Caenorhabditis elegans: one gene and its partner. The protein of the gene in region 1 purifies or fractionates together with the protein of each later gene. This does not show direct contact. Each region holds a gene or a part of one and is shown on either strand. Other genes may lie near its edges.

Region 1 (3,671 bases):
ACGCTTGCCGAGCACTGATTTTAGACGGTCCATTAAGGTGTATCTGACCTTCCGAGCACAATCATTTCTCTCGAAATTCACGTAGGCTAGGCGTTCGTCTTCTTCCGGGTTTTTGACCACTTTTATCTGAAAAAATTGGTATAAAATTGCGGAAATCTCAGGATTTTTTGGTTGAGGCTCAGGATTTTTTGGTTGAGGCTCTCTGGATTTTTGGTTGAGGCTTTCTGGATTTTTAGTTGAGGCTCTCTGGATTTTTGGTTGAGGCTCTCAGGATTTTTGGTTGAGGCTTTCTGGATTTTTGGGTGAGGCTCTCTGGATTTTTGGTTGAGGCTCAGGATTTTTGGTTGAGGCTTTCTGGTTTTTTGGTTGAGGCTCTCTGGATTTTTGGTTGAGGCTCTCAGGATTTTTGGTTGAGGCTTTCTGGATTTTTGGGTGAGGCTCTCTGGATTTTTGGTTGAGGCTCAGGATTTTTGGTTGAGGCTTTCTGGATTTTTGGTTGAGGCTCTCTGGATTTTTGGTTGAGGCTCTCAGGATTTTTGGTTGAGGCTTTCTGGATTTTTGGGTGAGGCTCTCTGGATTTTTGGTTGAGGCTCAGGATTTTTGGTTGAGGCTTTCTAGATTTTTGGGGCTTAGGATTTTTATATATATTTTTTGGACTTTTGAAGAATTTATTAACTTTTTAGCAACATTTATAGAAATCTAAGAAAAATGATTGCTTTTTTAATCGATTTTCGAAATATTAAAATCAAAAATTGGTTCAATTTCAGGAACATTTAGGAATTTCAGATTTCAATTTTCAAGTTATTTTTACAAAAAAAGTCGATTTTTTGCTGCTTTTACCTCAAACGGAGCATATTTCTTGAGCTCTTGTGTCAGATATTGCTTGATTTGTTCCCGTTCCAGACGGTCATCGAAGCCGGAAATTCGAAGATTCAGGTAGACTTCTGGTGAGTGGCTTCCGAAGCGTTCCCTGAACAAAATAGAGAAAATTATGATTTTTTTATTGGTTTTTTGTGATTTTTTTCGGCAATTTTTTCTTCAAAAAGCTCCTTACCGATAATAACTGGAAAGTCCGTTGCAATTCGGTCGGTATTGAGGTCTACCGCGTTCTTCTGCCATTTTTCGCTGAAGAAATTCGAATTTAATTCGTTTTCGAGAAGAATCGGCATTTTTAGTTAAATTTCTTAGTGATTCAGGTGTAGAATGAAACGAATAAAAGAAGCAATAATAAGACACAGAAAAAGTAGAGAGTAAGCTAGAAATAAGATTGACTAAACACTGAGTTTTTGCTGAAAAAGCCGATTTTTCTCAAAATTACAGCTGGAATAGAACAGACAGTACAATAGAAATAGAGTTTTAATATGAATTTTAATATTAAAGAATCTGAAAATATATTTAAACACCAGAAATTTGTGTAAATCGATGAATTTGTAGAGCTCGTGAGCTAATCAATTATTTGCCAGCGATGTGTGCATTCTGACGTGACGGTGTACGTTCGCGGTGGTTGCGTACTTTAAATTGTTGACCGTACTCGGTACTCGGCGATGCACTGCGCATTCTAGGAAATCGATTTTCTTCTATTTTTTGATTTTTAAATCGAAATTTCTAAAATAATTCATGGTTTTCTGTCAATTTCAGATTTAAAATTGACAATTTTCAATTAAAATATCAAATTTCATTCTAAAAATCCACTAGAAACGAGGCTCCACGATTCCGGCGCTCTCTGTTTATTTTGCACGTTTCCAAAGGGCGCTTCGAGCTTTTCCCAGTGTTTTATTGAATTTTATGTGTTCTCGTCCCATTTTCTCAGTTAAATCATGCATTAAAATTATGAAACTGCATTGATTACCTCTTTTTTCCCGGAAAAATCGTATTTCGTTAATTAAAAAAAGTCGATAAGGCTCAATTAAATAAATCTATTTTCAGGATGGTTGCCGCTTCTGCCACCCGTAACATGCTCCATCAATATGGCCGTCGCGCCATCGGCATCTCGTTGATCGCCTCCGTCGGCGCCACCGCCGCCTTCTTCTTCGGATACGTTCAGCCAAGACACGAGAAATACGAACGCTTCTTCGCGTATGTATTTTCAACTTTTTCATAAAATGTTGGTTGAAATTAACCGCGAAATTAGTGAAAAGAGCGAATGTTTGACATCCAGAATTCGTAAAAAATATGGAATTCAGTATAAATTTGCGATCCGTGGTGCCAAAATCGAAGAAAATCGCTAATTTTTCCGGATTTTCACTTTAACAAGTCTCGAAATCAGTTTTTTTATTGGGAAATTTATCGTTTTTGCTGATATTTCACTCAGGATGACCACTAGAAGCTTGTGAACCTCTGACACGATTTTTTGTCGATTTACGGAGCTCAATTTTATACTAAATTTTAGCTACATTTCGTCTAATTTTGCCTGATACTGGTCCAAAATGGAGAATTTCAGTTCTAATAGGAAACAAAAAATTAAAATACACACTTTTCCTCAAGGAGTACACGAGCAATTGACAAAAAATTAAAAAAAAAACAATTTACGTTCAAAATCGTGAATTTTATGTCATTTTCCCCCTGAAAATTCAATTTTTCTTTCAGCAACTACGATCCATACACCAGAATGAAGGAGATCTGTGCCGCGAACAAGGGATACATGCACACATGCCCACAGGAGCTCGCCAAGCTCTACGAGGAGAAGGGCAAGACTGTTGCCGATTTGTAGACGCCCACGCCTCGAATCTTGTGTGTGTTCTTGTACTATTTTGTTAGTCAATTTCTTATTCTCTTCGAAATGTTGCGATATTCTTAAATAGCTTGGTTTGTTCCGAATAAAAATGTTCGTAATCCGTTTCTTCGATGAGAGCCGAGGTCTCGGTTTCTCTGCACTCTCCCCTGACAACTACAGACTCTAATTGGCACGCCGGACACCTTTTTTCTCGTCTACCATGTGTTCTGCTGCTTTTGCAAAAATATATGGATTTCTTGAGCATTTAATCGCCGAGAAATCGATTTCCCCGTGGATTTTCACGATTTTGTGTCTGCGGAAACAATTTCCCTGGAGTTTGAATTTCGTGGAGCCAGATTCGCAAAAATTTTTAGTATCTAGCTTTTTGAACAAAGTTTTATGATAATTTAGGGTCTCGCCACGCTGATTACGCATCAGAATACTAAAAATTTGAATATAAAAAATTTCGGTGAATTCGAATCCACGTGAGCTATTTTCCAGGGTTTTTGATTCCACGGATATGAATTCCTGAAGATTTTCGTTTTTTGTGGTTTTTCAGCTGATTTTTTAGAAAATTTAAGATCTCGGTAAGAAAAATATTCCGCTGAAAAAAACGTCAAAAAATATAGAAAACTCGCAAAGCCGGATGGAAGCGAAGACCCCGAAAAATGGTTTCCGTGGATCCGGATTTGCCGAATTTTCTTTATTATTGAGGTGTTTAAGCGGAATTATGGAAGATTTAAAATTTTATCAAGAACTTTTTGCACAGAGACCCCTTGTTTCCGAAAATTCGACTGAAAACGTCAGAAAACTCCGCAAATCTGGATCCACGGGACCGAAGTTTCCGAAAAATTGTTTCCGCGGGTCCGGATTCGCAGTTTTTTTTTTCTATTTTTGCATTTTTCGTACCGAGACCCCACATTCACAAAAATTTAGCTGATCGAGCATGTTACCCCAA
Region 2 (4,208 bases), on another chromosome or scaffold:
TTTTAAATTTTTCGAAATCTGTGGGGCGGGAAATTCTAAAGAAAAACTCTTTTCGAAACAAAGAACATTTTCAGTAGCGTAATTTCCCAAGATTTCGGCATGTCTCCTTAAAGGATCAAGAATTTATTAAGATAGCTAAAAAGTTAATGTTTTTGGCAGTTTCCTCATTTATTTTCTATTTTTCAACAACAAAATTCAGGAAAATGAACGAGGAAGCAGCCGCAAAAATAAAAAATACTACCACGGAGTTTTTTTTGCACGCCGAGACCCATCTGAATCAATCCGTGTGACTGCATGTCATGCATGTCAATGCATGTCAAAATCTGGTGAATTTACTATATTATTTTGAAATAAGATGATTTCTTTTTGATTTTGAAATTATTTTCTAGGTATTTAACAAAAAACTATTCACCTGTAGTTACATTTGCATCAAGACGTGGATAACATCGTTGAAGAACAAAGTAGAGAAGAACCTTTTTCGGTCGCGACCTTGCATTGTCTGAAAATTAATTTATCCATTTTCTGATTATTATCTCAAAGCTTCCACTTACAAAATCGAGAAGTCCGTCATTTTGAGAAAGCGTTTTGCGATAGTCGTTATCAAAAAGCCCACGAAGCATGTGCCAGCGTTCTTGTGGAGTTTTGAAAGACTCGGATATTCTACGCAAGTCATCTCTGCCGAATTCGGACATATACTGGTAATCTATGATAAAACGATCATTATCCAGCCATCCCTGTTCATAGATCATTTTCTCGAAAACTCCATCTTTCAATGCAACATTAAAAGCGTCACGCACAGTCGGCGGAACTCTCGTCAATTTGGCCCGACCTTCAGTCACCTCGCATTGACCATTTTTCTGTGAAAAAAAATTATTTTTTAAAAACAGACAAATCTTCTAACCTTGAATAAATTGAGTCTAGTCGCAATTGCAGACCTTTGATTGTTGTTCAGCATCCTCGCTTTCTTGTCGCCGACCCAACAATGTACTCCACGTCTACCAGAAAAGACCCACATTCGTGCTTTGAAATTGAACATTTCTTCCAGTTGGAAGTCTAAGATTCTGACAGCGAGAACCATGAATTTCCAGCATTTTGGGCAGACGGTGGCATCTCTAAAAATTAGATATTCGAAAATTGGATTACAGATCCTCTTAATAACGCACTTGCAACAATTACGAACTGGATCGTAGTCGGTCAAATCGATATCAAAAACCAATTCTCGTTCCACAGCTTGGTAATCTGTATATCTCTTGTTGTTAATTGGCTCGTGATTGTAGACAGCTCCAATATCAAGTTTTTCAGGATTAGTACTTGAAAGTGCTTTGACAAATGAGTGTTCGTCATTGTAACTACGATATCTGATATGAACATCATCTGCCAGGATGAATGTGAATTCTCGGCGGTTGAAATAGTCTCCGTAATCTGCAAAATTCAAATAACGTTAAGAAAATCGAAAGCGAAACTCACTCTGTCCGTAGCAGAGCCATTTTGTGAATGGTTTGACTGGGAAGAAGTTTTTGTAGTATATTGGCAAATCTTGTGGGAGTCTGATTGAGTTATAAGACATTTCTGAAAATTGAAAAAGTATAAATATTTGGTTCAAGCTAGAAAGTGTAAAAAATTATCAAAAACACGCACATATGGCCCGCTCTCATTATCACTCCGTCAAACTTATCACTCATTTGCATGCTTCATCACAGTGTGTGTTTTGTCGTAAGATTCAGTGTGTTGTCTGCAACACCGACCGCGCATCTTTGAATTTCACGAATCATTTTCTCATTTTTAATCAAGTTATTAATTTGCGTTTTCCTCGCTCTATTATTGTTTTTTTCCGTAAATTAGTTATTTAAAGGTAAAATGAGATCATCGTTTGTGTCTAAAAGTGCAGCTGCCATCAAAACCCAAAAACCAACAGGATCACTCAAAACAAAGGTTATTTATTTGTTGAAACCTATTTTCAGTCGACTAAAATCGAATTTTCAGCTGAACAATGGATTGAAAGTTGTTTCTCAAGAAAATAATGGAGCGATTAGTCAATTGGTGAGTCGCATTCGAGTAATAAAGCTATTTGCGATTTCCTAGATCCTCGCTTTTCGTGCTGGTTCTCGTTATGAAAAGGTCACTCAGCCTGGACTTGTGCATCACGTTCGAAACTTTGTTGGAAGAGATGCTCAATCTTATCCAGGGTTGCAGCTTGTTTGGTCATCAGCCGCCAGTGGAGCCAATTTGGTTAATTCTTTCTCTTTAAATTGCCATTTTCATTTTAATTTCAGAACTCTTTCGCTACCCGTGATATTTTCGGTGTTCAAATAAGTGTTGCTCGCGATCAAGCTGCTTACGCTCTCTCAATCCTCGGCCACGTTGCTGCCAAACCAGCTTTTAAACCATGGGAACTAGAGGATGTTACTCCAACAATTCTTGCTGATTTATCACAGAAAACTCCATATGGAATTGTGTTTGAGGATATTCATCGCGCTGCCTTCCGCAATGATTCCCTCTCGTTTTCACTGTACTCCTCCAAAGGACAAGTTGGCGCTTACAAATCCCAGGAACTTGCCAAGTTCGCTGCCAAGCATTTTGTATCCGGAAATGCCGTTCTCGTTGGAATTAATGTCGATGGGTCTATTTTGAAAAGTTATGCCGAGGAGTGTGGTGTCGTACCAGACGGGCATATCATCACCAATCAGGGGTCACCTTTCAGGGTGAGAAAAATTTAAAAAAAAATTTTATTATGTTGAATAAATATTGAATAAAAAATCATTTTAGGGTGGAGACTATCGCCGTTTCGCTCGTGGAAATGATGTTCATATAATGGTTGCTGGAGATGGAGCAGCGGTTGGAGATCTGAAATTTTTGGCTGCCCAGGCAGTTTTTCTCGCTCACATCGGACGTGCTTCTCCACTGAAATTTGCATCACTTCCAGGATCAACCAGTGGACTCGCTCTTGCGAATCTTCCGGAAGGAGTTACTGGAAGTGCATTCCAGGCACCATATGATGGAAGTGGCCTTGTTGGTGTTTATTTGCTCGCAACCGGAGCTAATGCAGATTCTGCTGTTCGAGCAACTGTCAAGGTGTTGAGAACTACTCAAGTTCAGGATATTGAAGGTATAGTCGAGATTAGCCCTTGGTTTTTAAAATAAAATATTTTTCAGGCTGCAAGCGCCGTGCTATCGCCGATATCTTGTTCAACGCTGAAAACAACGTCTACTCTGCCTACGATTTGGCGACAAACGCCCTCTACAACGGTCCAGAACAGTCGGAATTGATTGCGGAAATTCAAAAAATTCAAGAAAGTGATGTGCAGAAGTACACCAAAGCCGCGTTCGAACGTCTCGCCATCTCTGCATATGGAAATTACGGAAGAATCCCATATGCCGACGAGCTTTAATTTAAATTCGTTTTTGTCAACTTTTTGTGCTAATTTTCGTTCTCTTAAAAACATCAAATCGTTTACTACCATAGACTCAGAGTGAAGCTATGAAATGGAAAAGAGCTCAGTTTTTAGCGGGAAGATGTACAGTAAAATACAAATAGAATTGCACGAGAATGACAATAGCCAAGACAGAGAGGAGCTTGGGAACAGAAACTGAATAAGACGGGATGGGGAGAAACCGGGATGATGGACAGACAGAAGAACGACCAGAACCCAATGAGGATATTCTAGATAAAAATAATAATGTACAGAGATTGAAGGCGGCGTGGGGAGCTTTAGAGAAGAATAACTTTGATTTCAGTGATTCCTGAACAGCAACTAACACAGATTTGGGTGAAAAGTGGTTTAAATTGTATGAGAAGAAAGAAGAGGAGCGGTGCTTACCCGATAGAAAATAACAGAAATGAAAGAAAACTTTTATAGGATTCAGGACAAAGCCCTAGTACTCCATTGGAAGAGCATAATCATCAAAATCGACATTGACAAAGTCTTGAACCTCTTCATCTGCCTCAACGTCTCCTTCATCTTCTTCCTCGACATCTGACACATAACTTGGAACAAATGTTGGAGAATTCGAGGAATGTGCTAGATCGGCAGGAATTGATTTCGGATTGCGTCTGTAATAAAACATCAGATTAGTCGTCTAACACTGAAAAGTACCCACATGGGGGGAGGAAGAGCAGACGTCAAGACAGCTATCAATACTCATCGTCACCATCATCGGCAGGATCACGAGACCTCTTTTGAGGTCGGATCGCCGCTTTCCGAGCTCTA

Evidence for each region.
Region 2: the proteins of cox-6C (region 1) and ucr-2.3 fractionate together in Caenorhabditis elegans (co-fractionation; one large-scale study listed by BioGRID). This does not show direct contact.

What each region holds. Positions count from the first base shown.
Region 1 is NC_003282.8:124,805-128,475, forward strand, and holds cox-6C (Mitochondrial cytochrome c oxidase subunit VIc/VIIs domain-containing protein), read left to right. Parts: upstream 1-1,926; 5' UTR 1,927-1,927; coding exon 1,928-2,076; intron 2,077-2,586; coding exon 2,587-2,710; 3' UTR 2,711-2,836; downstream 2,837-3,671. Other genes in the region: grld-1 (RRM domain-containing protein), read right to left, coding at 1-126, 841-970, 1,055-1,119.
Region 2 is NC_003281.10:878,008-882,215, forward strand, and holds ucr-2.3 (Peptidase M16 N-terminal domain-containing protein), read left to right. Parts: upstream 1-1,852; 5' UTR 1,853-1,857; coding exon 1,858-1,932; intron 1,933-1,983; coding exon 1,984-2,040; intron 2,041-2,082; coding exon 2,083-2,229; intron 2,230-2,273; coding exon 2,274-2,702; intron 2,703-2,766; coding exon 2,767-3,106; intron 3,107-3,153; coding exon 3,154-3,389; 3' UTR 3,390-3,451; downstream 3,452-4,208. Other genes in the region: T24C4.5 (DNA primase), read right to left, coding at 419-499, 552-857, 902-1,112, 1,164-1,422, 1,468-1,567; zer-1 (Zyg eleven-related protein 1), read right to left, coding at 3,874-4,051.